Linked DNA regions of Schizosaccharomyces pombe. The gene in region 1 interacts genetically with each later gene. Each region holds a gene or a part of one and is shown in the gene's direction. Other genes may lie near its edges.

What was found.
Region 2: mutations in spp42 (region 1) and trx2 together harm fitness more than expected from each alone (negative genetic interaction), as found in Schizosaccharomyces pombe (one large-scale study listed by BioGRID).
Region 3: of spp42 (region 1) and prp4, a mutation in one rescues a mutant of the other (synthetic rescue), as found in Schizosaccharomyces pombe (one study listed by BioGRID).
Region 4: mutations in spp42 (region 1) and leu5 together harm fitness more than expected from each alone (negative genetic interaction), as found in Schizosaccharomyces pombe (one large-scale study listed by BioGRID).

What each region holds. Positions count from the first base shown.
Region 1 is NC_003424.3:2,648,719-2,656,770, forward strand, and holds the start of spp42 (U5 snRNP complex subunit Spp42), read left to right. Parts: upstream 1-2,000; 5' UTR 2,001-2,019; coding exon 2,020-8,052. Other genes in the region: rng2 (IQ motif containing GTPase activating protein), read left to right, coding at 1-1,268.
Region 2 is NC_003423.3:2,316,839-2,320,236, reverse strand, and holds trx2 (thioredoxin Trx2), read left to right. Parts: upstream 1-1,706; 5' UTR 1,707-1,769; coding exon 1,770-1,903; intron 1,904-1,959; exon of another isoform or gene 1,960-1,985; coding exon 1,986-2,253; 3' UTR 2,254-2,828; downstream 2,829-3,398. Other genes in the region: ubiquitin-like protein modifier for cullin Ned8, read left to right, coding at 47-64, 136-248, 299-386; cyclin CycC-like Srb mediator subunit Srb11, read right to left, coding at 2,829-3,036, 3,101-3,398. UniProt on the Schizosaccharomyces pombe protein: Disulfide reductase which serves multiple functions in mitochondria, protecting mitochondrial components against thiol-oxidative damage as a thiol-disulfide oxidoreductase, and supporting urea cycle and respiration in mitochondria in a manner independent of active site thiols.
Region 3 is NC_003421.2:1,620,538-1,625,027, forward strand, and holds prp4 (serine/threonine protein kinase Prp4), read left to right. Parts: upstream 1-1,961; 5' UTR 1,962-2,199; coding exon 2,200-3,193; exon of another isoform or gene 3,194-3,301; coding exon 3,302-3,741; 3' UTR 3,742-3,938; downstream 3,939-4,490. Other genes in the region: retromer complex subunit Vps35, read left to right, coding at 1-626, 667-780, 824-1,173, 1,228-1,285, 1,333-1,407, 1,495-1,800; tRNA dihydrouridine synthase Dus4, read left to right, coding at 4,165-4,490. UniProt on the Schizosaccharomyces pombe protein: Has a role in pre-mRNA splicing and is essential for growth. Phosphorylates srp1.
Region 4 is NC_003424.3:2,015,925-2,020,999, forward strand, and holds leu5 (coenzyme A transporter), read left to right. Parts: upstream 1-1,883; 5' UTR 1,884-2,444; coding exon 2,445-3,425; 3' UTR 3,426-3,833; coding exon of another isoform or gene 3,834-4,487; 3' UTR 4,488-4,558; downstream 4,559-5,075. Other genes in the region: SPOM_SPAC17H9.06C (uncharacterized protein), read right to left, coding at 1-214; signal recognition particle subunit Srp21, read left to right, coding at 461-532, 585-774, 917-1,017; GTPase Ras1, read right to left, coding at 3,834-4,487, 4,559-4,564.

The sequences.
Region 1 (8,052 bases):
TGTCAAGCATTTTGTCTGAGATCTTTTCAATCGAGTCCTGTGACTCTAAGCAACTTGGTTTTTTTAGACCACTCTCCGAGTTTATTGAGGTGTCCAAGCAGGATACCATGTTGATGCTAGAAAGGCTTGTCGATGTGGTTGATCCAGAGGTGTACTTTGAGTTCGATGCTTTTGAAGACCTTGTTAATACCAAGCGGCCAGTAATATACATGAAGCGAGACGATATTTTAGGCATTTATTCATCTATTGCATATGTCATAGATAGTATTGCTCCTCCTGATGTGAACGATCCATTACGCGCTGTTGTCAATAGCTTAGGTCCTGTTTCAGAGCAAGACAATGACTTTGTGCAAGATGAAACTGACGTCAAACTAGAATTGAATCCCAAATTTTGCACTATAGAAAATCCCGTTGCTCAGGAACGGACTCTTATTGTTCAGACAAAGAGATATATATTATTTATTATTCGAATTCAAAATGGCCTTAATCTTTTGGAAATACTTGTCAAACCGGTTACAGATTCAGACGAAGCAGCATGGCAAAATTTATTGGCAGAAGAATCTGAAAAGAATGCAAGGAATTATGATTTGTTTGATGATTCTATCTTTTCAATGTCATTTGCAGAACTGAAATACACTGCACTAAGCAATATAGTGGAAATGGAAAAGCTTGGATTTGCAAACCGACGGAATAATTACCAAGATATGGTAAATTCTATCGCTCTAGATATCCGTAATAAGTCGAGAAGAAGGATGCAACGACAGCGTGAACTTGATGCGGGACATCAAAGTTTGCTTAACTTACGAGAAAAAAGAGCTTTCCTTGATTCGCAGCTAAAAAGTTATAACGAATACATTGAACAAGCTATGGAAACATTACAATCAAAGAAGGGTAAGAAGAAGCTTATTCCTTTTTCTAAACAGTATTTTCACATGCGAGATCTCCGAAAATCTGGACGCGTTCCTCGCTTTGGGTCGTTCAAGTACCCAGCTCTTAAACTCTATGACCGAGGAGTTTTGGTATCAATATCTCATATGCCGCAGAAAGAAAAATTGTATATTACTATATCAGCCGATGAAGTTGGCAAATTTATTCTGGAAGCAACAAGCCCGACAGTTAAAGTTTCGAGCCCAAGGTGTGAATTGCATTTGGACGACTTGTTGTCTGCTCAATATAACAAGGTTTTAACTTTGGATGTTTTGGATGGCCGTCTCAAATTAAACACCAATATGTTCTTACATTTGATTTTCTCCAAATTTTATTCATGAGACGTTTCACTTTGTTCATTTTTCCGTCTCTTTAACTACCCAATGATTTAATTCGAATTAACTTAAAACCGTCAAATATCTTTGCACATTAATACTTGTCCATATTCTTTTGGCGAAATATGTATACTATGTGATATTTTCTCCCCTTTAATTCTGATAATTTGCACAGTTTTCCCATTTCATTCACTTAGTGTGGGGGGTTTTTTTATCACTACTTGTGTTTACTTATACTGTACAAATCTTATTTAACTCGGTGTTATTTTTCAAATTTTTTTTTTCAACTAAAGCCGTTGAACCTGAAACACTAAATCAAGGAATAGGAATTTTTGGTTTATGCATACTAGTTGTACTTGGTAATTTATACTTTCTGAATTAGTTAAAGGTTTATAATTACAAATAACACTTTTTTATAACAAAATGTAATTTATGTCAATACATACATCTTTACTAATTCTTATAAGGCGATTCGATTGAGCATGATTATGTTCAAATTAACCTTTGGATATGGGTAGGTGTTTGGTTGACAAACTTCTTAAGCGTGTTGCATTTTAACGAAGAAAATTTGAATTTTCAAATCCCGTATAGCGTGTAAAAAAATATACATTAAACACGTATTATGAGCAGAAGACTACATAGACCTAATATGAAATAAAACGCACAAAAGAATATTACGCACAAATAATGGCGAGGGTCACCACCATACAAAGTAATATTCACTACCACAATTCAGCTGACAAATACCATTACCTAAATGGCGTCGTTACCACCGGGGAATCCTCCTCCACCGCCTCCTCCGCCTGGATTTGAGCCTCCTTCACAGCCTCCACCTCCTCCACCTCCAGGTTATGTGAAGAAAAGAAAAAACAAGACTCCAGCACAGTCTGGAAATCTTGAAAAGCAACTTAACGAAAGAGCACGCAAATGGCGCGCTTCTCAAAAATCAAAGTTTGGTGTCAAAAGGAAGCAGGGTTATGTTCAAACAGAGAAAGCTGATCTTCCGCCTGAGCACCTGCGCAAAATTATGAAAGACAGGGGAGATATGTCTTCTAGGAAGTTTCGTGCTGATAAACGTTCCTATTTGGGCGCTTTGAAGTACTTGCCACATGCTGTGCTAAAATTGCTTGAGAACATGCCAATGCCTTGGGAAGAATACAGGGAGGTCAAGGTTTTATATCATGTAACCGGTGCTATAACTTTTGTAAACGAGAGTCCTCGCGTAATTGAACCGCATTTTATTGCTCAATGGGGAACGATGTGGATGATGATGAGACGCGAGAAGCGTGATCGAAAAAATTTTAAGCGTTTGCGGTTTCCTCCTTTTGACGATGAAGAGCCACCATTTTCTATTGATCAATTGCTTGATTTAGAGCCGTTAGAGGCTATTAGAATGGACTTAGATGAAGAAGATGACGCTCCTGTTATGGATTGGTTTTACGAAAATAAGGCTTTGGAAGATACTCCCCATGTAAATGGTCCAACCTATCGTCGTTGGAAGCTTAATTTACCTCAGATGGCTAATTTACATCGTTTAGGTTACCAACTTTTGAGTGATTTACGCGATGATAATTACTTTTACTTGTTTAATGACAATAGTTTCTTTACGGCTAAAGCTTTGAACGTGGCTATCCCAGGAGGTCCGAAATTTGAACCTTTATACAAAGACGAAGCCCCAGAAATGGAAGATTGGAATGAATTTAATGACATTTATAAACTTATTATCCGACATCCCATTAAAACTGAATACCGGATAGCGTTTCCTTACCTTTATAATTCTAGAGCTCGAAGCGTTGCACTAAGTGAATACCACCAACCGTCTAATGTTTTCGTTCCTCCTGAGGATCCTGATCTTCCGGCTTTTTTTTGGGATCCCATAATAAACCCCATCACTTCCCGCCAACTCACTTTGCATGAACTAGATACCTCTCCCGAAGATTCTGCCATAGAAGAAGATCCTAATTTTGAAATCCCTTTCGATCCTTTCTTTCATTCCGAAGATATAGAATTTGAGCACACAGCCAGTGCTCTGATTTTATTGTGGGCACCCCATCCTTTTAATAAGCGATCTGGTGCGACTAAGCGTGCGCAAGATGTTCCACTGATAAAGCATTGGTATTTAGAGCATTGTCCTCCTAATCAGCCTGTTAAAGTTCGTGTGTCATATCAAAAACTTTTAAAATCCCATGTTATGAATAAGTTGCACATGGCGCATCCCAAATCGCACACCAATCGCAGCTTACTTAGACAGTTAAAAAATACTAAATTTTTTCAAAGTACTTCTATCGATTGGGTTGAAGCTGGTCTCCAAGTTTGTCGCCAAGGGTACAACATGCTGCAATTACTTATTCACAGAAAAGGGTTGACATATTTACATTTGGATTACAACTGTAATTTAAAACCTACAAAGACATTAACTACGAAGGAAAGAAAGAAATCTAGGTTTGGTAATGCATTTCACTTGATGCGCGAAATACTTCGCCTTACTAAATTAATTGTCGATTCTCATGTACAGTATCGTTTGGGAAACATTGACGCATATCAGCTAGCTGATGGATTACATTACATATTTAATCATGTTGGTCAACTTACGGGAATGTATCGTTATAAATATCGATTGATGCGGCAGATTCGTGCTTGCAAAGATTTCAAGCATCTTATTTATTATCGCTTCAACACTGGTCCTGTTGGCAAAGGTCCAGGTTGTGGGTTTTGGGCTCCCAGTTGGCGTGTATGGCTTTTCTTTCTACGCGGAATTGTTCCTTTGCTAGAGCGCTGGCTGGGCAATTTGCTTGCTAGACAATTTGAAGGCCGTCATTCTACAGGAGTGGCAAAACAAATAACCAAGCAGCGTGTCGATTCTCATCAAGATCTAGAATTGAGGGCTGCAGTGATGAATGATATTTTGGATATGATACCTGAAGGAATTCGCCAAGGCAAAAGCAAAACCATTTTGCAGCATCTTAGTGAAGCTTGGCGTTGTTGGAAGGCTAACATACCTTGGAAGGTTCCGGGTCTCCCTGCACCTATTGAGAATATGATTTTGAGATATGTGAAGTCAAAAGCAGATTGGTGGACCTCAGTCGCTCACTTCAATCGTGAACGTATTCGTCGAGGAGCTACTGTTGATAAAACCGTGGCGAAAAAGAATCTTGGCAGATTAACTAGGCTTTGGTTAAAAGCTGAACAAGAAAGGCAACATAATTATCTAAAAGATGGACCTTATGTAACTGCCGATGAGGCAGTTGCTATATATACTACTTTTGTACATTGGTTAGAAAGTAGGCGATTCCAACCTATTCCCTTTCCTCCACTTTCGTACAAACATGATACGAAACTTCTTGTTTTAGCACTTGAACGCTTAAAAGAAGCGTATTCGGTGAAGGGTCGCTTGAATCAATCCCAACGAGAGGAATTAGCATTAGTGGAACAAGCCTACGATAATCCACATGAGATGCTGTCCCAAATTAAAAGGCGTTTATTGACAATGCGTACTTTTAAAGAGGTAGGGATTGAGTTTATGGATATGTATTCTCACTTGATTCCTGTTTATTCTGTAGATCCGATGGAGAAAATTTGTGATGCTTATCTCGATCAATACCTTTGGTTTGAGGCCGATCGTCGACACCTATTTCCTTCCTGGGTAAAGCCTTCTGATTCAGAACCTCCACCTCTTCTTGTTTACAAATGGTGCCAAGGAATTAATAATCTTACAGATGTTTGGGAAACTTCCAACGGCGAATGTAACGTTTTAATGGAAACTAGGCTGTCTAAAGTATTTGAGAAAGTTGACTTAACACTTCTTAATAGACTGATGTCATTACTAATGGACACCAATTTAGCTTCCTACGCTAGTGCTAAAAACAACGTTGTTTTGTCATATAAGGATATGTCGCATACCAACTCGTATGGCCTAGTCCGTGGTTTACAATTTTCAAGTTTCATCTGGCAGTTTTATGGATTAGTGTTGGATTTACTAATACTTGGCCTTCAACGCGCTACAGAAATAGCTGGTCCTGCAGATGCACCGAATGATTTTCTACACTTCAAAGATCAGGCAACTGAGACCAGTCACCCTATTCGACTGTATACACGCTATATTGATAAAGTTTATATAATGTTTCGATTTACTGATGAAGAATCCCGTGATTTGATTCAACGATTTTTGAATGAAAATCCTGATCCCACAAACAGCAATGTTGTAAATTATTCTAAAGGTAAAAAAAATTGTTGGCCTCGAGATGCTCGTATGAGACTCATGAAACACGACGTGAATCTCGGACGTGCTGTCTTTTGGGAGATTCGTAATCGTTTACCTAGATCACTAACTACCCTTGAGTGGGAGGATACCTTTCCTAGTGTTTACAGCAAAGACAATCCTAATTTATTGTTCTCGATGACAGGATTCGAGGTTAGAATCCTTCCAAAGATCCGACAAAATGAAGAATTTTCTTTGAAGGATGGTGTATGGAATCTCACAGATAATCGTACGAAACAACGGACAGCGCAAGCTTTCATACGTGTTACGGAGGATGGTATAAATCAATTTGGAAACCGTATACGTCAGATTCTTATGTCCTCTGGTTCCACTACCTTTACCAAGATTGCTAATAAATGGAATACTGCTCTAATAGCTCTCATGACTTATTATAGGGAAGCCGCGATTTCTACGCCCGAGCTTCTAGATTTACTTGTTAAATGTGAATCGAAAATACAAACTCGAGTAAAAATTTCATTAAATTCTAAAATGCCTAGTCGCTTTCCTCCAGCCGTTTTCTACTCGCCTAAAGAACTTGGTGGATTAGGAATGCTTTCAATGGGTCATGTACTTATTCCACAATCTGATCTTAGATGGTCGAAACAAACTGATACTGGTATTACTCATTTTCGAAGTGGAATGACTACCAATGGAGAACATTTGATTCCAAACCTTTATCGTTATATTCAGCCATGGGAATCAGAGTTTATTGACTCTCAGCGTGTATGGGCTGAGTATGCAATGAAGAGACAAGAAGCTCTACAACAAAATCGTCGTTTAACTTTAGAGGATCTGGAAGATTCATGGGATCGAGGAATTCCTCGTATAAATACTCTATTTCAAAAAGATAGACACACATTGGCATATGATAAAGGATGGCGTGTTAGGACTGAGTTTAAGCAGTACCAGCTCCTTAAAAACAATCCATTCTGGTGGACGAGTCAAAGACATGATGGAAAATTATGGCAATTAAATAATTACCGAGTAGATGTCATTCAGGCTTTAGGTGGTGTCGAAGGTATTTTGGAGCATACGATGTTTAAAGCTACTGGATTTCCTTCATGGGAAGGTCTTTTTTGGGAAAAAGCATCTGGTTTTGAAGAATCCATGAAGTTCAAAAAGCTTACTAATGCTCAGCGTTCAGGTTTAAATCAAATCCCTAACCGTAGATTTACGCTTTGGTGGAGTCCCACTATCAATCGTGCTAACGTTTATGTCGGATTTCAAGTACAACTGGATTTGACTGGAATCATGATGCATGGCAAAATTCCAACCCTGAAGATTTCACTCATTCAAATTTTTCGTTCTCATTTATGGCAAAAAATTCATGAATCTGTTGTTTGGGATTTGTGTCAAGTGCTTGACCAAGAATTAGAGTCATTGCAAATTGAAACAGTCCAAAAAGAAACTATCCATCCTCGTAAAAGTTATAAAATGAATAGTTCTTGTGCAGATATCCTCCTTTTGGCTGCCTATAAATGGAACGTATCAAGGCCATCCTTATTGAACGATAATCGCGATGTGCTTGACAACACTACCACCAACAAATATTGGATTGATGTACAACTTCGATTTGGAGATTATGATTCTCATGATATTGAACGTTATACTAGAGCTAAATTTTTGGATTATAGCACTGATGCTCAAAGCATGTATCCTTCACCGACCGGTGTCTTAATCGGCATTGATCTTTGTTACAATATGCATAGTGCATATGGTAACTGGATTCCTGGTATGAAACCATTAATTCAACAGAGCATGAACAAGATCATGAAAGCCAATCCAGCCTTATATGTGTTGCGTGAACGCATACGAAAAGGTCTTCAATTATATGCTTCTGAACCCCAAGAGCAGTATTTGTCCTCCTCAAATTATGCTGAACTCTTTAGTAATCAAATTCAATTATTCGTTGATGATACTAATGTTTATCGGGTTACCATTCATAAAACATTTGAAGGTAATTTGACTACGAAACCCATTAATGGTGCTATTTTTATATTCAATCCGAGAACTGGTCAATTGTTCTTAAAAGTTATTCATACGTCAGTTTGGGCGGGACAAAAACGATTGGGACAATTGGCGAAATGGAAGACTGCTGAAGAAGTTGCTGCTTTGATTCGTTCTCTGCCTGTTGAAGAACAACCTCGACAGATTATAGTAACTCGAAAGGGCATGTTGGATCCATTAGAAGTTCATCTTTTGGACTTTCCTAATATAACCATTAAGGGTAGTGAATTACAGCTTCCTTTCCAAGCGATTATTAAACTTGATAAAATCAATGATTTGATTTTACGTGCCACCGAACCGCAAATGGTACTTTTCAATTTATATGATGACTGGCTTCAATCGGTATCATCGTATACAGCTTTTTCACGCTTGATACTTATCTTGCGCGCATTGAATGTCAATACTGAGAAAACGAAGCTAATTCTTAGACCAGACAAGTCTATAATTACAAAAGAGAATCACGTGTGGCCCAACCTGGATGATCAACAATGGCTTGATGTTGAACCGAAACTTAGAGATTTGATC
Region 2 (3,398 bases), on another chromosome or scaffold:
AAGATAAATTTATTTCTTTTTTATGTATACTAATATATAATCATAGACATTGACAGGGAAAGAGGTTCGTGTTTTAAATGTTGAAAACATTTATATGCAGTTATAATTCATCTATGTTTCTAACCAAAATATAAGATCGAATTAGACATTGATCCAAATGACAAGGTTTCTAGGATCAAAGAACGGGTTGAAGAAAAAGAGGGTATCCCTCCTTCACAGCAGCGTCTGATCTACGCTGGAAAGCAAATGTAAGCACTATGGGAACATCCATACAATGATTCTAACAAACATCACGTAGGGCTGATGATAAAAATGCTGAAAGTTATCATTTAGAAGGAGGCAGCGTCTTGCATCTTGTGTTAGCTCTTCGTGGAGGAAGTTGCTAGTTGTTGCATACTTTATTTATAAAGAAAAATTATGTATAAAAAATCATACTTTTATTTAACGCTATAAACGAAATCTTTTTACTGTTTTACTAATACTAAGAGTAACGAAATGAGAATTGAGTCGCTTTATTATTGCTCTGTTTCATTTTATGTGAATCTATTGATTTGTATAAAAATATTGCTTAAGCTTTTCTAAACTTAAGACGTTTTGGTGATCATGAATTTCAGCGATAAGATTGATTACTTCTTGTTAATTTATGAGTAAAGTAGTCGTAAAGAGACGTTTTGCACAGAAAAGTCAATATATAACAACAATTGCTTGCGCATTCCCATCTGATATCAAAGTATATAAAGCAGTAGCATGCGAAGCAAAACTTCCTCAGTACAACATCGAATGTAATTACCATAAACGCAAAATCTCTAGTAAGACTAAAAGAAAATGTTGTTTAAATAAAACTAACTGCAAAATGCTATGTAGCAAAAACATGGGCTGTTGTGGGAATCGAACCCACGACCACCATCACCCTAAGATGGTATCATACCACTAGACCAAACGGCCACATTGATAGGGGTGCCACTTAAACATATATAAAGGAAATATACATGTAAATCTATATAAATTACATTTTTAAGGAGGAAAGTATAATCAATATGCTTATAAATTGCCATTTCAATGTATTGATTCTCATTTTTCTATTTAAGAAGTTTTAAATTTTTTTTGTTTATGAGAAAGTGACATCGGCTTTAAGGAACTGCTCTATTTAAAAGCAAGAGAGATTCATTTAATTATAAATAGTCTGCATAAAGCCAAATTACTATTATAAAAATTAAAAAAAAATGATATTCTTTCTTAATTTCAAATTAATTCTGATAACCGGATTTTCGAAGTTTTATGTAATCTTAAGATTGAAGTACTAGTTTTTATAATCGTGAGTACAAAAAATCCATCCAAAAATCTTTGGGCTGTATATTTAAGAACAAATTAAAGTAACTTTAGTTTAATCAACAAAGGTAAGGATTTATAAACTTCATTAGGTGTTTTTTAAAGTTATTAAAAAAAAAAAAAAAAAAAAAAAAATCTCTCAAATTGTTCGGCTACAGATTTTTTGAAAGCTTCTATTTTCCAATAAGGATTCTAATAAAATATAATAAAGAGGGAAAAATGATGCTAAATTATAATTTTTTTTATTGGTTTCCCAAATTTTTAATCTTTTTTTATTGAATTAATGTTGTAATAATTTAAAAAATATTGTATTAAAGAGTAATGTTTATGATCGCAACTAAGCACTTTTCTCCGCCTGGCGGTAGTTCTAGCTTACTAAGTGCTATAATTTCACCTATTTAAATTTTTGATTAAAACCGTCAACCAAAATTATAATTCAAATGCGTGGATTTATTGCAAACTCTTTAAAGCCGCATATGAGATCTTTTGCTCTGCGCAGAAGTTTTACTAGCTCTCGTATTTTGAGAAAGGTGAACGCAGTTGAATCGTTTGGCGATTACAATACTCGAATTAGGTATGTATAGTCAATAATATATCATAGTAAAAAATAAAAGATAAAACTTTTTCGAATAGATCTCCTTGCTAATTGCTACTAGTGCTGACAAAGTTACCGTCGTTGATTTCTATGCAGACTGGTGCGGTCCTTGCAAATACCTCAAACCGTTTCTTGAAAAATTAAGCGAACAAAATCAGAAAGCATCTTTTATTGCTGTTAATGCAGATAAATTTTCTGATATTGCTCAAAAGAACGGTGTTTATGCCTTGCCTACCATGGTATTGTTTCGTAAGGGTCAAGAATTGGACAGAATCGTCGGCGCTGATGTGAAAACTTTATCTTCTTTGTTGGCAAAATATCAAGAATAGAATATGGGATATTGGTGTCCCCATTCGTAAATTGCTTGATTTACTTTCTCGATTCAATTTGTTGATTGCACTGTATTATGTCAAAACTAGGTTTTAAAAACTTGACACGGCTTATTTTATTTAAGATTTAAGATTTAAGGGTTTTTACTTTATGAATTTCATTATATAATTGCCGGACCAAATTTGCTGAAATCAAAAATATCCTTTCAGAAATACCTAATAGGGGAATGTTCAACTCAATTAACACAGGAAGCTACAAGAATGAGCTATTTTATAACAACGTGAGTATTTCTATGAGGTGATTAAGGAATAATTTTTGAGGTTCATAGATAAAGCATTAATATATCCTTTACGTTTGTGACATAACCATTCGATTTTGGATATTATTACACAGATACTGCTCTATTTATTCATTTAGACATAACACCATGAACGAGAATGCGTATATAATACACGGTTTTAAACCAGACAACAAAACATAATTTCAGGCATTAATCAGCAATAAAGAAAAATCTAATTATAGTTTTCGTTTTTAACAAAATTTGAGGCTCTAAATGTATAGTGTATTCAAGAAGTTATTCAATATCCTCAAAATAATAAATAGAAATTATGCGTTGAACACATAATATAACTTTGAAGGCATCAGTACTCTTTATTAAATCCAAAAGCTTAGGAATTGTATTTTCATCATTGCAACAACTTATTAATAAAGCGGCATACGCAAGTTGATGAGGATGTGCCATTAAACATAAACTGCTGGCATATGAATCGTTAACAATGCTCCTATTTCCTCGATCGTTAGAAAAATCTAATCGACTGTGATTTTCAATATAAGAAGTATACATACCAAGCAAACTCAAGCTGCTTTTGATTGATAATGCCATCATGAAATGCTTGCTCAAGAGAAGTGTAGGGATGGTGAACAATGAGAAATGCATCAAGGACTGAAATGATTTCAAATTCTATTTCGGAAATATTAGAACGACTAAGTTTAACTTTTAGGCTCCAGAGATCATTAGCCTCATTGCAAATTGTGCGAATGTGAACAGGGCATTCTTCCACTTTGCATGATAAATAAATGCATGTAGCCACTAGCGCCTCCAAAGAAAAACCCTTTTCCTCATTTTTTTTTAGCATGTAACGCC
Region 3 (4,490 bases), on another chromosome or scaffold:
CCGAAAAATTAGGAGACATAAAAATTAATGAGGAAGTACAGCAAAAAGACGAGCAAGAATGCCCTGGAGATAAAGTAATTCCTCCAGAATATGCTATTCAAGAGGTTTTATGGTCACATGTTGTTGAAGTTATTCAATCTCGTAGTGGTCTTCCACTAGATTGTATTGTTTCTATACTTTCTAGCATCCTCAATTTTTTCTTGCGGTGTTACCCTTATAAACCCCAGTATGCAGATCGTGTTTTTCAATACATTAACGAACATATCATTAACCAGCCCTCCTTACGAAGCGCTCTTCATGAACGTCCATTACAAAAAAGTCTTTGCGCAATTTTATTGCTTCCTCTTACATATTTCCCTTCCTTTTCTTACTGTCTTGAGCTACAGAATTTCCTTCCTGTATTTAATGCGCAAGATCCAAACCTTCGTTACGATATTGCAAGAATGATTGTTCAAAAGATAATTGAAAAAGGCCACTCATTAAGTGAGCTTACAGAAGCACAAGAGCTACTAGGTTTTGTGTCTGTCATTATTGAAAAAAAGGGAGTTGATAGCCTTGATGACTTACAAAACGTTGCTTTGATGGTTCATTATTTGAATAATGATGACCCGCAAATTCAAATAGAGGTACTATATTTTTTTTCTTACTGATTTACTGACAACTTAGATACTTCGATCCTTGAAAGATACATTTATAAAAGCCGGTGAGAATGTCAAATATCTTTTGCCGGTCGTTGTTAATAGATGCATATTCCTTGCACGAAACTTTCGAATATTTAAGGTATATTTTGTGTTTTGCAAGTCTTTACTAACAATACATTTAGTGTATGGATTGGGCTGAGAAAGTTCGTCTTCTTTGGGAATTTGTAAACACTTGTATCAATGTTCTTTACAAAAACGGAGATTCTTTAGAGCTGTGCCTTGCATTATATTTAAGTGCCGCTGAAATGGCTGATCAAGAAAATTATCCTGATTTTGCTTACGAATTTTTCACACAGGCGTTTTCTATTTACGAGGAGTCTGTCCTTGACTCTGAATTGCAATATCAACAATTACTAATGATTATCGGGAAATTACAGAAAACTCGTAATTTCTCTGTTGATGATTATGACACGTTAATTACAAAGTGCACTTTATATGCTTCAAAGCTTTTGAAAAAGCCTGATCAATGTTGGTAAGAAACAATGATACTATATATTAAAGTGATTATACTAATTTTTTACTTTAGTGGGATTTACTTGGCTAGTCATCTATGGTGGCAGGTCGCATCAGGAGAAGATTCAAGGGTAAGCAAATTGTGATTTCTCATCTATATTTACTAACATTCCTATAGCCTTTTCAGGATCCAAAACGGGTACTCGAATGTCTGCAAAAAAGTCTCAAGATTGCTGATGCTTGTATGGATCAGGTATGCTCATAAATTTAAATTTCGTTTGTAAAATCCTTTTTTCACATGTTATTCTCAGGACATATGTTGTTATTAACTTTTTTTTAGCTTACTAGCCTGAAGCTTTTTATCAATATATTGGAACGTTACTTTTATTATTATGATCAGCATTGCGAATCTATCATTGCCAAACATATAAGTGGACTAATTGACCTTACAGAGCAGAACATGAGATCCATTTTAATATCCTCGCCTGCCGACCTTATTGCTAGTGATCCAAGAGCGTATGCTAGTTCGATCTGGGAGGTTGCTAATGTATCGGTAATTGATTCTCTTAAAAATCATTTAGAAAGAGCAACTGCTTACGCAGAGAAACGTTCTGAAGATGAACGTTGGTCTAGTATTTTTCAATGATTTCTCGTATGCGTTTATATCATGTCTTACTCCCTAATATACTTCTAATAAAATTTTTGTATTACTAATTTATTCATTTTTCTCTTGACAGCTATATTTCAGGTTCTTAGATTTTTTTCTAATAGAAACTGCTTACCAAACTTTTTTTTCAACTCGTACTTGAAGCTACGATCATAGCCACTTCAGTCCGTATTCCTAATATATTGAATTTTTATTCGAAATTTGCATTTGTATGCCTCATTAATTAAAAAAAGAAAGAAAAGAGGCTTAATTGGTAAAAAACAATAGTGTTATTGTCTTGAAAAAGTACTTTTCATCAGGCATTGCAAGCACTTCGTCAAACACCTACTTCTATGGACGTATTACATATTTATTGTAAAGAACTACAATAGACTTAAAATGAGTGACGATAGATTTGCAGAAGATGAAATTATACAGCAAAGACGGAAACGGAGGTTGGAAATTTTAAAGAAGTACCAACAGACTGGCAATGGCCATTCGGATTTGTCAATTCCAGAGAAAAAGCTAAAAGAAGATGTCGACCAAGTCTCTACAACGAAACCTATCGAAGCTGTACCAAAAATGAAAACCAATGCATCTAAAATTGAGATTAACAAAGAAGGTTCTAATTCTAATACTAAGCTTGATGTAACTAATAGTACTACTAGTGATTCCCCCTCTATCAAATCTTCTGTACAAATTGAAGATACTGAAGATGACATGTTTGCAGATTCTCCTTCGCCTTCTGTTAAGCGGCAAAACACTGGGAAAGGTATTTCCACTCTAACTAGGAGTTTTGCAGATATGCAGGATAATTGGGACGATATTGAAGGTTATTATAAGGTAGTTCTTATGGAGGAATTGGATTCTCGTTACATCGTTCAGTCCAACCTTGGTAAAGGCATGTTCTCTACGGTGGTCAGTGCTTTGGATCGGAATAGAAATCAAACTTTCGCTATAAAAATAATTAGAAACAATGAGGTAATGTATAAGGAGGGACTCAAAGAAGTATCAATTCTTGAGCGACTGCAAGCAGCGGATCGTGAAGGTAAGCAGCACATAATCCACTATGAAAGGCATTTCATGCACAAAAATCATCTTTGCATGGTGTTTGAGATGTTAAGTCTTAATCTTCGGGACATTTTGAAAAAATTTGGGCGTAACGTTGGGTTGAGTATAAAGGCTGTTCGTCTGTATGCCTATCAAATGTTCATGGCATTGGATTTGTTGAAGCAATGCAACGTAATTCATTCAGATATCAAACCGGACAATATGCTGGTGAACGAAAAAAGAAATATTTTAAAAATATGTGACCTTGGTTCTGCTTCAGATGCCTCTGAAAATGAAATAACACCGTACCTCGTGAGTCGATTTTATCGTGCTCCAGAAATCAGTAAGTCTAAATAAACGCCAAATTGCTTATAATTCCAAAAATATGGAAATTGAATTCTTCTTCTCATTACTTTTGTACTCTTTTTTCAAGATCTAACCTTTAAAATAGTTTTAGGCTTTCCTTATTCGTGTCCAATAGATACATGGAGTGTTGGATGTTCTTTATATGAGTTGTATACTGGTCAAATACTATTTCCTGGCCGAACAAATAACCAGATGCTTCGCTATATGATGGAATGTAAGGGGAAGTTCAGTCATAAAATGTTAAAAAGAAGTCAATTTTTAAATGACCATTTCGACGCGGATTTCAATTTCATACAAATTGATCATGACCCCATTACAAATCAAGAAACGAGGAAACCTGTAAAATTCTCTAAGCCGACCAAAGACATTCGATCTCGTTTAAAAGAAGTCCCAACTTCAACTGATGAGGAATTTATAATTCGACAAGAGCTTATGGATCTTTTGGAAAAATGTTTGGAGCTTAATCCAGAGAAACGCGTACCGCCTGAAGTAGCTTTGAAGCATCCTTTCTTTATAAAAAAATAAACTGCGGGTTCATGGGTAACTATCAATTTAGAGTGAAGCAGACACTGTTTCTTAGTTACGTGATCTCTCTGGTCAATCAATACCAATCAATGTATATATTTTATCTAACCAAGTGTAACAATTTTGAATAGTAGAAACGCCAACTGGTTTGTTGTTTGACTTACAAATCTATGTGGTTTTCAATTTTCTTTCTCCAGTGTAAATAGTGTTTGTGTCGAAAGAGTCTCATACTCGTTCAACAAATTAGATACTAATGCAAAACTAATTGCTTCATTTTATTTTATCATTTGCGAAATAAAACCAATGGTAACGACATTTCGATAACTGCGTAGATGTCACATATGCTGTCAATGGCCGTGGACATTTTAGCAATTGCCAACATTCCTAACAAAATCTCTGTGACCCAAAATTCATCATAAAAATATGAGAGATCGTTTAAAGGATCCTGTAAAAATATTTGAAATAAATAAAGGGAAACGCCCTGTACACATAGCGGCACCAATGGTGCGGTATTCAAAGTTACCATTCAGGCAACTAGTGAGAGATTATAACACTGATATAGTGTATACTCCGATGATTTTAGCAAAAGAATTTTTACATCCTAAAGGACGTTATTTTGATTTTTCTACAAACGATGCAGATGCAAGCTTGATTCTACAATTCGGTGTGGATGACCCAGTAATTTTGGAAAAGGCGGCACAACTTGTTGGACCCTATGTAGATGGTATTGGAATTAACTGTGGTTGCCC
Region 4 (5,075 bases), 630 kb from region 1:
ACGAAGATGCTTGAGTTTGAGTGGTTCTAAAATTATCTCGAGAAGAAAATTGGGATTCTTTTAATTTTTTGTTCCCTCTACTGCGTGAATTTGAATTCGATTTCATAGCTCCTTTGTTCTTTTTAAGCACAACATTGCTCTTTCGCTTTACAAACCTAGTTATCGGATACTTTTGAACATCATTTCTCTGTACATTGTCTTGATTTGATACCATAAATTAGGGGAATGTTTTAAGTTGACAGATTTGTCGACTAATAGTTTCAGTAGTTTGTTATACGTGAAAAACCAATATAGTATACCAAAAAGTAGAAAAAATAGTAAAAAAAGCTTTTACGTTTTTTGGATGAATTATATTCAATTTTAGTAACCTTCGATTGACTCAAATATAACTTAGTTGTGTTTCAGACAACACTACGAGGTGCATGCCTGATGTGTTGATCCTACCATCAGCCACTATACCATGGTTTACCTGCAAACTGTGAATGAGTTCTTCACACAGTCAAAATCATTAACGGAGGCTTATCCAAAAACGGTATGGTGTTGATGATATCTTTGATAATCAAACTCTGACTTTTTTCATTTAGACCAAACTTAGTATCAAATATCGCACGAATGAGCAGAGTCAAAATTATTTAATCGCGAAAGCCTTTGAAAGTGCTTCTGGAATATGTCTAAAATATAGGACTGACAAGGCGGCTGAACTTGGCAGATTACTTCTAATTGCAAACAAACTTAGTTATGTCTCCACAGGTAACGAAATTCCTCCTGAACCAGGTATGTATTATTAGTATATCAATTGTTTTTGCATTGTTATAAAAAGAAGCGCTTGGAAGGAAGATGTTTTCCTTTAAAAGTAGTTATTAATGTAACTATGCTCTTCTAATTTTTACGTTTCGCTAACAGTCATGTTATATAGAACAAGAGGTAGTGGCTTCTCCGGTTACAGAGCAAAAGAAAGCGGAGCCTTCCGCTCCTCCTAAGGGTTCAAAGAAAAAAAAAAGGGGGAAGAAGAAATGAGTGTAGCACTTGGCGTGTTTTTTTTTTTCATTTTGTTCATTTAGTGTCACGTTAGATATCTTAGGATCGGATTAATTCTTTACTTTTATCTTACAATAGCAATTCTCTCGGTTTATCAATAAAGGTAAAAAGGATAATTTGCAGTGTAAGTCAGTCGTTCTGTACTTTCTTATTCGACCAACATGAATAATGGCCCCTTCTTTCTTAATATCATTTTTTATTTGCAAATGCTATACATAATCAAAAGGATGCATTCGCATTGGTATTACCGATGTGATTGGTTATAAAAGTATAACAAGCATGTGTATTCATTTACAGGTATTTCAAGTGCTAAAATATAATATTTCCTTTATGCACAGTTGGTAACATATTATTTAGTACAAAAATCTTTATTCGGTGAATTTCATTATTCATTCGCTAGGACAGATCGTTTAGACAAGGATGAAAAGTTTTACTGCATTAGCAAATAAGTAAAAAAAGTTGATGTTTCTGCTTTTAAAATATCGTTTGTTTACAGTTACCGATTGCACAAAAACTAGTTTACTACAGTGTGAACTTCATATTCAATATACAAGCAATTTTCCTTTTAAAGTTTGCTAGAGCAACTTTTTTAATATGGATATGTATAGACACAACTTCATTTTCACCTTAATAGTATCTTTATTTAAGTTTATCACATTTTGTTTACCATTTTGTTCATAAACCAATTTATGTAGGTTGAGAGAATTAGCATCATAGTTCAAAAATTCTTATTATGTTAATCTATGATTGATCTAAACAAAATTATTATCATCAATTATCTCCAAAGCTATTGAGTAAACGTTTTTGTTTAATTATGAGAAATATATTACTGCCTGCTTAATTTCCACCTTCCAGTGCTGTGGGCATTAACACCAAAAAATCGGCAACTCAACAATTATTTGAGCATTAGGAGTGCCTTTCTTTATTTATTATTGGGATACTCAGGGGCTTAATTTTTTATTTTTTAGCAACGGATTGGTTTTCTTTTGATCCTTTATTATTAGCCTACAAATATATTTGTTAAATTACAGCCTTTTTTTTACCTTACCTATGGGCTTACTGGAATTCTAACAGAAGCTAAAAGATACTTTCATTTTCTTTCAAAAGCATAATTGATTGCTTTATAGGTAATCTTGTTGGACAATCTGAAGTGTTTTCTATTCAGATTACTGTTTGCTACTACTATAAGTGTTCTCGTGTTCCTTCAATCACTGTTATTGATCCAAGATATTTGGACATTTGATGCTAAATCTTATTTACATGTAATTTTGTTTGTAGTAAGAAGTTGAAAACGTTCAGTTTTAACAATTTTTTTATGTTTAGGCATTTGGTACGAAAAGTTTTGTCCTTCCATTTATCTTTTTAATCCCCTCTTTATTTAACTTAAACACTTTCAGGGATTCTACATGCCTAACTCAACTGCCCAATATCCGGAAAAGGATTCATGGGAATTCTTAGTCAAATCTGGAATTGCTGGTGGTACAGCTGGATGCGTTGCAAAATCAGTAGTTGCCCCATTAGATAGAGTGAAAATCCTTTACCAAACCAATCACGCTTCTTATCGAGGGTATGCTTATTCACGGCATGGGCTTTATAAGGCTATCAAACACATTTACCACGTCTATGGCTTACACGGTCTTTATCAAGGCCACACTGCTACTTTATACAGAGTCTTCCCTTATGCGGGCATTAAATTTGTTGCATACGAACAAGTACGGCGTGTTTTAATTCGTGACCCTGAACATGAAACACATGCTCGGCGATTTTTATCAGGATCACTTGCCGGAACTTGCTCTGTTTTTTTTACATACCCGTTAGAGCTGATTCGTGTTCGTTTAGCCTACATAACCAATACAGGGAAGAATCCTACCCTAACTCAAGTTACAAAAGATATATTTCACGAACGTGATTTTTTGTGCAATAAGAAGTATCCTGGGTTATCCCGTTTGTCAAAAATCTGTAATTTTTATCGTGGATTTTCTGTTACGTTAACTGGAATCTTTCCATATGCTGGTATGTCGTTTCTTGCCTACGATCTTGCAACTGATTTTTTTCATAAACAAAAAATTGACGAATGGGTTTCTACAAAAAAGTCAGATAAAAAACTTAAAACTTGGCCCGAACTACTTTGTGGAGCATTTGCAGGAGTTTGTGGTCAAACGGTTTCTTACCCATTCGAAGTTTGTCGACGAAAAATGCAAATTGGTGGTATCAGAAAAAATAAATCATTTCTTAGACTTAAGCAGGTAGTACAAACTACTTACAAAGAAGCCGGTATGAGAGGTTTTTTCGTTGGACTTACCATAGGTTACATTAAGGTTATCCCAATGGTAAGCACTAGCTTTTTTGTTTACAATCACAGCAAAGCGCTTTTAGGGATAGATTGAGACTGCAGACATAGTTTTCTATGAAAAAAATTATCCCTTTTTTAAAAATTTATAAAAAAAGATCTACGGGATTATAGGTGTATGATATATTCATTAGTTGCAGATTGTTACATCGTGACCATGCAATGAAAGAGATGTATTTTATTAAAACGGAACAAGAAATAGCAACCCAAAGTCAAATAACACGTTTTTTCTAAGTCCACAACTCTGAATTGAATAATTTGCTATCATACTAGCAGCCAAAACTAGATGTGCAAATGGTTCAAAGGGAAAATGAAGTACTTAAAGATAGCTGCTAATAATTGTGTTAAATGAAAAAACAATTATTGAAATGAAAAGAAAGAGATGAAACAAAAGACAGGAACGGTGCATTCACCAAACAGCTCAAATATTCTGCAATAATACTTGCTAACATATAACACAACATTTAGTTGAAACCTCATCTTCGGTTTTACTGTTATTTACAGCGCTAGCTCTTTTAGCAGTTGAAGCTGGAACTTGGGCAGTCTGGACGGCCTGCTTATTCTGAAAACCTTTTTCTTCTGATTTGTTATAGCGACGGATCGTGCGAACCAAACTATAAAAAGCTTCTTCTACATTTAACCTTAGCTTCGCCGAAGTTTCAACATATAAACAATGCATGCTTTTTGCAAGTTGTTCGCCTTCAGCTCTTGAAACTACACGTTCAGCTTCAAGGTCGCATTTATTAGCCACTAAAACGACTGGAAATGTATCCTTATCCTTAACTCTAAGGATTTGTTGATAAAATGTAGAAATTTCGTCAAAAGAGGACCGAGAGGTAATATTATAAACTAATAAAAAACCCTCTCCGGTTCTCATATATTGTTCACGCATAGCGGAATATTCCTCTTGACCGGCCGTGTCCAATACATCTAAAAGCGCACCTTCACCATCAATTTCACACTTTTTCCGATATGAATCTTCGATTGTAGGATCGTATTCGTCAACAAAATGCGATTGAATTAATTGAATTGTCAAAGCACTTTTACCAACACCACCATCTCCTACAACTACCAATTTGTACTCTCTTAAGTAGGTAGACTATAAATATTATCGTTGATTAGTTTGTTGTAATCAATAAAAGATAACCCCAAGTCATTGCTTAGACTTACCCTCATATTCACTATTTTATAAAGCACACTAAGTTTAATCGTATATTTCTTTAGGTTGCTTTTAAAACAAAATACAAAAAGTGTGTAGGCTTGGTAATTAAAAAATATTGGTTGGTCTTAAGCTCGTTAAAATGTGTTTGGCAGTTTTCAAGTAATGCAGTCAACAATTACTGATGGCAAACCGACAAGCTAGTAATAAAGAAATTCAGAAGTTATAATTTTTTAAAGGTATCTGGTGCAATAAAAACGAAATATTAATGTTAACAGCTAATTATGTTAAATCCATCAATAAACATTTGATCTTCTATTAAAATACCAAAAATTCTGCCATTTGTATTTGACAGATATATTGCATTAGTGCTTTGTCTACCTTTAAAAGCATACGAAGTATTGTTTGAAGAATTCCCTATTCAGCCCAACTTAACCAAATTAGCAGCAAATTTAAGTATTGCTTTTGAACTTTCTATACTGAACATTAAATATTTCTTTATTAAAATTAAAAAGCTTCTAAAAATTT